2 linked regions of the Rattus norvegicus genome follow. Each later gene encodes a partner of the first gene's protein in a complex. Links are inferred from orthologs where the notes say so. Each region holds a gene or a part of one and is shown in the gene's direction. Other genes may lie near its edges.

What was found.
Region 2: the proteins of Rbsn (region 1) and Rab4a are in contact, whole or in part, in a crystal structure (PDB 1Z0K), measured with the Homo sapiens proteins. The link is inferred for Rattus norvegicus from reciprocal best matches to the Homo sapiens genes RBSN and RAB4A. Residues at the interface, in NP_001289307.1 of Homo sapiens: Glu441, Gly442, Trp443, Leu444, Pro445, Ser447, Glu454, Pro458, Leu459, Gln461, Gln462, Asn465, Ile466, Phe469, Asp480, Glu481, Thr484, Leu485, Asn488, Leu492, Glu495, Gln499; in NP_004569.2 of Homo sapiens: Tyr10, Leu30, His31, Ile34, Glu35, Ile46, Gly47, Val48, Glu49, Phe50, Gly51, Ser52, Lys53, Lys63, Gln65, Trp67, Arg74, Phe75, Ser77, Val78, Ser81, Tyr82.

What each region holds. Positions count from the first base shown.
Region 1 is NC_086022.1:126,259,689-126,263,226, reverse strand, and holds part of Rbsn (rabenosyn-5), read left to right. Parts: intron 1-2,022; coding exon 2,023-2,163; intron 2,164-3,538. UniProt on the Homo sapiens protein: Rab4/Rab5 effector protein acting in early endocytic membrane fusion and membrane trafficking of recycling endosomes. Required for endosome fusion either homotypically or with clathrin coated vesicles.
Region 2 is NC_086037.1:68,691,694-68,695,897, forward strand, and holds the start of Rab4a (ras-related protein Rab-4A), read left to right. Parts: upstream 1-1,387; 5' UTR 1,388-1,509; coding exon 1,510-1,540; intron 1,541-1,547; exon of another isoform or gene 1,548-4,204. UniProt on the Homo sapiens protein: The small GTPases Rab are key regulators of intracellular membrane trafficking, from the formation of transport vesicles to their fusion with membranes.

The sequences.
Region 1 (3,538 bases):
CACAAGCCACTCAAACACCAAGCTCAGTCAAAGAGGTATGACTTAATGAATGCCACACCCCAGACTGATGGATCAGGGCCACAGGTCAGACTTGGCAGCTGACTGTGACCATAAGTCAAGATCCTGTAGGGCTTTTTAATAAGCCTGAAATTTACAAACATCTGTGACAAGTTATTTCACCAGTCAGGATTTAGGGATGGGGACTTCTTTATAGACCATGCCTTCGCTGTGCACTTACCCCGCTCCCATTGGTTGGAGGATTCAACTATGGTAGAAGACTTGCCTTGTCTGAACTTGTCAACCAAGATGGGACTTGTCTAACATTCATGTCTTAACTTGCTAACCAGGATGTCAGTTACCCACATACATTTTTCTTTCTGCCAAGTAGTATGTCAGTTCCCAGGGAAGTCTTGGGAACTTAAAGTTCACTTGACCTCTACTTAAAATGGAAGTCTTTTCCAAATAGTTTCTTATAGTGGTACAGGTGTCTCTCTTATGTTAGGGTCCATCCCAGGGGGAGTTTATAAAAGCAAATACCATAAAAGCTTATACACAGGTTCAGGAAGTGCTGCTGGGTGGAGTTCAGGTCCAAACTTGTTGTGGGTAACTATACAAAGCAGTTTTACTGATTTTATCATGATTGGTTTCCAAGGGTACAGAGCATAATAGAATACATAATCAACTTGGACATGAGAAAGTTTCCTAGTAACAGAAGCAATATATGAGAAAGTTTCCTTATAATGTTAGTAACAGCACTAGACAGATAACAGGCCTTAACATTCTATCTAGACCTTAATATTTTATGTAGGCCTTAATAGCATTCATATTTATAACAAAAAAATGGAATACCAAAATATTGCATACAGGTATCAGGTTTCGAAGGCAGTTTTTAAAATTACATTTATTCATCTATTTTGTGTTGGTTGGGGCATATGCCATGGTACATCTGTGGAGGTCAAAGGATAGTTTCCTGGAGTAAGTTCTTTCTTATCATTTGGGTGCTGGTGGTCAAACACAGGTCTTTAAGTTTGGTGGCAAGTACTTTTTTATCTATTGAGCTATCTCACTTGCCTCTTGGAGTCAGTTTTTTGTTTTTTTTTGTTTTTGTTTTTTTTTGTTTTTTCCCGGAGCTGGGGACCGAACCTAGGGCCTTATGCTTGCTAGGCAAGCGCTCTACCACTGAGCTAAATCCCCAACCCCTTGGAGTCAGTTTTAAGTAGACAAGATCAACTCACTATTTCTGAAAGTGTCTGTGGGTTTGAGCCAACCCTGGTCCAGCAGTATTTAAGCCCTTTTACAGTAGCCAGAAGAAAAGATGGTTGAAAATTGACTGTAGCTTCTGTTTTATTTTCAAAGATGCATGGGTGGGTTAACTGGGCTCCTTTGGAAAGACTACATCTACTCAGCAGACAGTCCCTTTATTGTCCAAAGTGGTTAAATAGTGCGGACTGCCCTTTTTGTTTAGGATAGTTTAGTCGTGTTTACAAAGTGAAGACTGTGTTAGGCATGGTAGTACACACCTTTAGTTTTGGGTGGGAGAACTAGTTTAGTTTAGGTGAATGTCTGCTAGTTCAAGGTAAGTGTAGTGTCATCCAGGATAGTTAGGGCTACATAGACAGACCCTGTCTGAAAACAAACAAAAATCTACCATCCTGGTTCCCTCATTGAATTTGATTTGGCTCTTAATTTTTTTTTTTTTTTTTTTTTTTTTTTTTTTTTTTGAGCTGGGTACCGAACCCAGGGCCTTGCGCTTGCTAGGCAAGAGCTCTACCACTGAGCTAAATCCCCAACCCCGATTTGGCTCTTTATGTTTAGATGGACTATTAAACTTGGCAGTAAGCAGGTACTTAGCCTGTATGTTGGAAACATGAATAGCATTCTGCTGGTCCTGACTTCTGTGGGGTTGGTAAGAAGGTCTTTACTTACTGCTGTATTTCTCTTGAGATCTGAATATTCTTGTGCATTTATTTCTTTTATATAATCTTGGGCTTATTTGTGGTATTTGTTTTATTTTTTTTCAAGATCTTGTTCAGAAGGCTAGGAAAGCAAAGAACAAGTTGTTGAAACGAGAAGGAGATGATCGTGTGGAGCCAGGGACCCAAGGATACGAATCATTCAGCTATGGAGGGGTTGATCCTTACATGTGGGAACCTCAAGAGCTTGGTAAGAACATTTATTAATTCATTCAGTGCTTATGAGATATCTACCCTGTTTTAGGTCTTTTTTTTTTTTTTCAATTTTAAAATTTTATTTCTCTTTCAATTTTAAAATTTTATTTCTCTCTCTTTCAATTTTAAAATTTTATTTCTCTCTCTCTTTCAATTTTAAAATTTTATTTTCTCTCTTTCTCTCTTTCTCTCTCTCTCTCTCTCTCTCTCTCTCTCTCTCTCTCTCTCTCACACACACACACACACACACACACACACACACACATTGATTATATTTTCCCTGTATTAGTCCGGCTTCTCTAAAGGAACAGATAGAATATAGAATATGTTTCTAGTAGTTCAAAACTGGCTATCTCAAGACGGAGAGGCTGAGAATCTTGTAGTTGTTAGTCTCTGTAGTCACAAACTGATGGATTCCTAGAGAGCTGCTGGGCTTCAGTCTGTGCTGCAGTCCTGAAGAATTTGGATTCTGCAGCGACAGAATGGGCGAATTTGCCATTGAGATTGAGGACAAACAGACTAAAAAGCAAAGTTCCTTCTTCCATAGCCTTTTATGTGGGCTGCCACCAGAAGATGTGGCCCAGATTTAGGACAGATCTTTTTGTTTTAAATAATCTAATTAAGAAAATTCCTCATAGGAGTCCTTGGCAGCTTGGATTTTAGTTGATTCAGATACTGTAAAGTTGACAGCCAAGATTAGTCATTACACCCTCATCTGTCATCCTCTCTGATCCTCTCCCTCTCCCACTGAACCCTTTCTTCTCAACAGGTCACCCTCCTACTTTGACTGGGTTAGGTATTGTTCTAGGAGCTGACTGAGAAAGCATCAATCAGTAAACCCTCAGGGATAGGCATCTTACTGGCCTTAAGTCCTGCTAAGGAGAGAAAGTGGAAGGGAACGAATTGAGATCTCTTAATTAAGCACTGTGCTAAATGCTTTGTATGCGTGCCTTCCTTTGAGTGTGTGTGTCTCTAGGAACCTTCTGAGGATCAAATAGTGGCCAAACTACAGCAGCAGGGCCATCATTCTGGGGCTTTCTTGTGTCAGCCTAGCCGTAGACCCCACTGACAGATCTGTCTCCTTTCAGGTTATCTGACAAGTGAGGGCACTGTACAGCTTACTTTCCTCATGCGCACAGTTATAACTTGTCCTCGTTAGTTCCTTTTTAAACTGCAAGAGCTGGGAGTAGAACCTGAGGGCCGGGCAAGCGCTGTGCAAGAGGTTCGTTCCCAGCTCTATTCTTTTTTTGAGATGGGGTCTCACTATATGTAGTCCTGGCTGTCCTGGAACTCATGATATAGATCAGGCTGGCTTAGAACGTAGAGATTTGCCTGCCTCTGCCTCCTGAGTGCTGGGATTAAAGTGCATA
Region 2 (4,204 bases), on another chromosome or scaffold:
GTTGTTCCTGAGGTAGGGTTAGTCTCCCAATGCAGCCTTGGCTTGCCTAGAACTCACTGTGGAGCCCAGACTGGCCTTTAACTCAGCAGTGCTTGGCTCTGCCTTCTGAGATCCGGAGCTAAAGGCCTGTGCCGCCATGCCCAAGCAAGACAGGTGTTTTGGATGTAATCTTGTTTGTGAGCGACTCTGAATATTGCAGATTTTCAGCTGGAAAAGAAATGAAACAGAGCTCAAGGGTCGCACATTCTCAGGCCTTCAGCTCAGTTCCTTGCTATTTTAACATTTTTTTTTTTTTTTTTTTTTGAGACAAGATCTCTCTCTGTGTAGCCCTGGTTGTCCGAGAACTCACCCTGGAACCAGGCTGGACTCGAACTCACAGAGATCCGCCTGCCTCTGCCTCCTCAGTGCTCGGATCAAAGGCATGCGCCAACACTGCTGGGCTATTTTAACATTCTTATATGAAATATCTCTATATTAAATGAATTGTGCAGGCACTCATTCTTGTTATTTTAAATTGTATTTACTTTTTTTTTTTTTTTTTTTTGGAGTCGTGTCTCTATCATCTGTTTTCCCTCCTTGCTGTGTAGCCCAGGTAAACCTTCAACTTGAAACAATCCTGCCTACGCCTCCCAAATGCTGGGATTATAGGCAAGGGACACCATGCCAGGCAATCTCAACAGTCAATTTCGCATGCTGTGCCAGCAAGGGACTTCAACAAGATTCCAGGATGAAGGGGGATCCTTTCCCTCCCCACGTCTTATTTTTCCACAGATCCGGTCTCTGCAGCTGTGAAGAAGGCAGGCTCTTAGGCCCTGCTTTGCTCAGGTGGGTCAAATTCCTGTCCCCAGTTTCCCGTTCAATAAGTGTCCCGACCCTTTTCCTCGGAAGAAGGAATAGGTTCTGACCTGTATTGTTCCATAAACCGAACACACCTTTGAAATTAGCCTGCAGTCAGGGCCACGCAACACTGCACTGTCCACTAAAGCGGGGAGCAGGAGAGTTCACGTGACCAAGCACACCTGCCTGAGCTGGAGTTGGCTTTCTGCTGGTGAACCCTCTTTCTGTCAAAACAAGCCCTCGGGCGGGCGGCCTGCTGTGCACCCTAGCCTGGTAGGTAACACTTAAGGAAGACTGAGTCTGTACTGCTAAGCCATCTGGGAGGACCTATGGGGCGCAGGCGCCCCCTCCCGAGCCCCGCCCTCCTCCTTCCTGGTTCCCTCCTTCATCCTCCCTCACCTTCGCCTCCTCCTCCGAGTAGGAGCCTCTAACCAGTTCTCTTGCCCTCCCTCCTCCCCTTCCCCAACCTCGCTCCTCCTTCCTCCTGCGACCCCGCCCCTCCCCCCTCCGCCCGGCTGCTTCGCCGGGCGGCGGTGCGCAGGCGCGGAGCCGAGTCCCGCTGGGCCGCAGCCGGTGGCCGGCTCGCCGTGGGCCCGTACCCGGCTCTCCACACTCGGTTCCTCTCGCTCTGCGGAGACTGGAGGACGAACCCCGTGGAGCTGTGGCGGCAGGATGGCGCAGACCGCCATGTCCGAGACTTACGGTAGGACGCGCGGGCTTGCGTGCGAGGATAGAGGGGCAGGCCTTGGGGTCCCGGAATGTTGGGGGCTGGGGTCAGTCAGGGTGTCCAGAGCCGGTGTCTAGACTATCGAGATGTCGTGCAAACCTCGCGGTGTCAGGGGCCAGGTGGAGATATTGAGAATCTTGGGTTGTTTAGGGTTGGGTTGGGATTCTAGTCATGTCAGCAGTTGGGATCCTGAGAATCTGGGTGTTAGGGGCCGGGTGGAGATACTGAGGATCCTGAAGTGTCAGCGGCTGGGAGCCTGAGATTCTTGGGGTGTCAAGGTCGAGCTGGAACTTGAGAATGTCTGGGTGTTTCAGGATAGGTTGGAATCTTGAGGAGCTAGGGGTGCCAGGCGCTGGGCTGGACTCGGTGGCCAGCAGGTGCCCCCAGCTGTGCAGAGCTGCTGTGAATCTCTCTCCCAAGGTCCCCCCTGCTTTGACCCTGGTTTCACCCTACATTTTCCTCCTTGGGTTGTTTAAATGGCTCAGGGTTGGAAGAGCCAATTTATCGTTGAGTTTCCCCCCTCCTCACTGCAGCACCAACCGCGGGGATGAAGGTTCTGGGCCACGCCTGCATTCAGTGGCTCTGGGGGCACGGCTGTGGGCCTCTCAAGGTTTGGAATTCCTTTCTTTGCATTGAGATTATAATGAGTTTTAAGTGGATGAACGCACCTCTTTTCTGGAGACCCCTGGCCTCCTGTATCTTTCCCTTCCTCCCTTCCTCCAGCATATGTTTGCATTATAGAGATTTATAAATATATTTCCTCTTTATGGCCAGAGGCCTTGGATATGGAGCTGTGGTTTTGTTTTTTTGGTTTTTTTTTTTTTGTTGTTGTTGTTGTTTTCGTTTTTTTTTCATCTTTTTGTTGTTGTTGTTGTTTGTTTGCTCCTGCAGCACCCAGGCGTTCTCAATGCACGTGCTGGGTGCTCCCCCTCCCCCAACCGAGGTAAGACTAAACAACTACTACTATGCATGGTTGGCCCACGCTTGCCTGTACTGAGACCTGAAACTTTGACTCAGTCTGTGCTGGTCCCAGAGAGGGACTCCCACGGAAAATCGTGGTGATCTGTCAGGTGATCCCCATCCAGTATGTGCCCCCTGCTTTCTTCCTGCCACAGGGTGGGGTCAGGGTACCTCCAGGAAGGTTCTACTCATTGTCTGAGTGCGATGGAAACCTCCCCAAGAGTTTGCAGTCCAGCGAGGAGTAGATTTTTATTTCAGATGTGGCCTTAGTGGGTGAACAATTATAAGCCAGGCAGCAGCTCTGAGGGATTCAGCACGGCTGTGTGAGAAAGAGCTGACCTAGATGGGTCAGAGACAGGCAAGTGGACAGGCAGACCTGGGGTTCAGGTCTGGGAGTGTGGCTTGGGCACCTTACCTTGAGAAAGGTGAGGACACAATTGAAGAACTTCGGCGGTTTGGACTTTGAGAGGGTGGGACCCTGGAAAGGGTGTCATGAGGCACACAACAGCCTGGTCCACTATCACCCAGAACCAGCATCCACTCTTCCTGTGGCACTGGGGCATAATGCTTGTCCCTGTACGCTAAAGGCACTATCCAGTGGGTGACTGGCTTTGTCAAGGCCACAGGTGGCCTATGTATGCCTCTGTGGTGTGGTGTGGTGTGGTGTGGTGTGGTGTGGTGTGGTTTGATTTTTCTGCCAGGAGCCACTATAAGAAATGCCTCCAGCAAAATACACTCTCTAGCTCATTGTCATCCTTTTCTTTGAGTCGCCTGAGGAGTTCCTGGGAGGAGTAGAGCCCTCAAAGAAAGCCTCCCGGTGTCATGGCCAAGTGAGGCAGGAGGAGGACAGCATGGGAGGCAGCCTTGTCCCTTGGTTCTCTCAGGAAATGATAGGTAATAAGGCGGACATCACCACACACCCTCTGCTTCACGGCACGCAAAGTTAATTAGGGTTTGCTCACCACAGCGTACTGATTAAACTCTGATCGTGAAGCTGTCACTGTTAGTATTACCTCAGGGACTGGAGATAAAACTCAGTGGCAGAGAGCTTACCTAGCATGTGCAAGATACCAGGAGGCACACACATTTTGTGTGTGCCTGTTTATTAATTTACTTATTTCTAATTTACGTGCATTGGTGTTTTGCCCAGGTGTATGCTTGTGCGAGGGAGATCTTGGAGTCACAGACAGTTGTGAGCTGCCATGTGGGTGCCTGGAATTGAACCCAGGACCTTAGGAAGAACAGTCAGTGCTCTTAACCACTGAGCCATCTCTGCAGCCCTGTGAATATTTACCTTTTCCCTTATTTCAAGGTATTTTTCCCAAATATGACTTTAGTTTTATTTTTTTGTTTGTTTTGAGACAGGGTCTTTCTCTATAGTTCTGGATGGCTTAGAATTCACCGTGTAGCCCAGGTTGGCCTCACACGTATGGCAATACCCCTGCCTCTGCCTCCCAAGTGCTAGGATTATAGACATGTGTTCCTGTTTCCAGGGTTTTAATTTTCTTTTCTTTTCTTTTTTCTTTCTTTCTTTTTTTTTTTTTTTTTGGAGCCAGGACCGAACCCAGGGCCTTGGGCTTGCTAGGCAAGCGCTCTACCACTGAGCTAAATCCCCAACCCCCAGGGTTTTAATTTTTAACTAAGTCTGAATCTAATATTTCTTTCAATGGAGGAAACGTG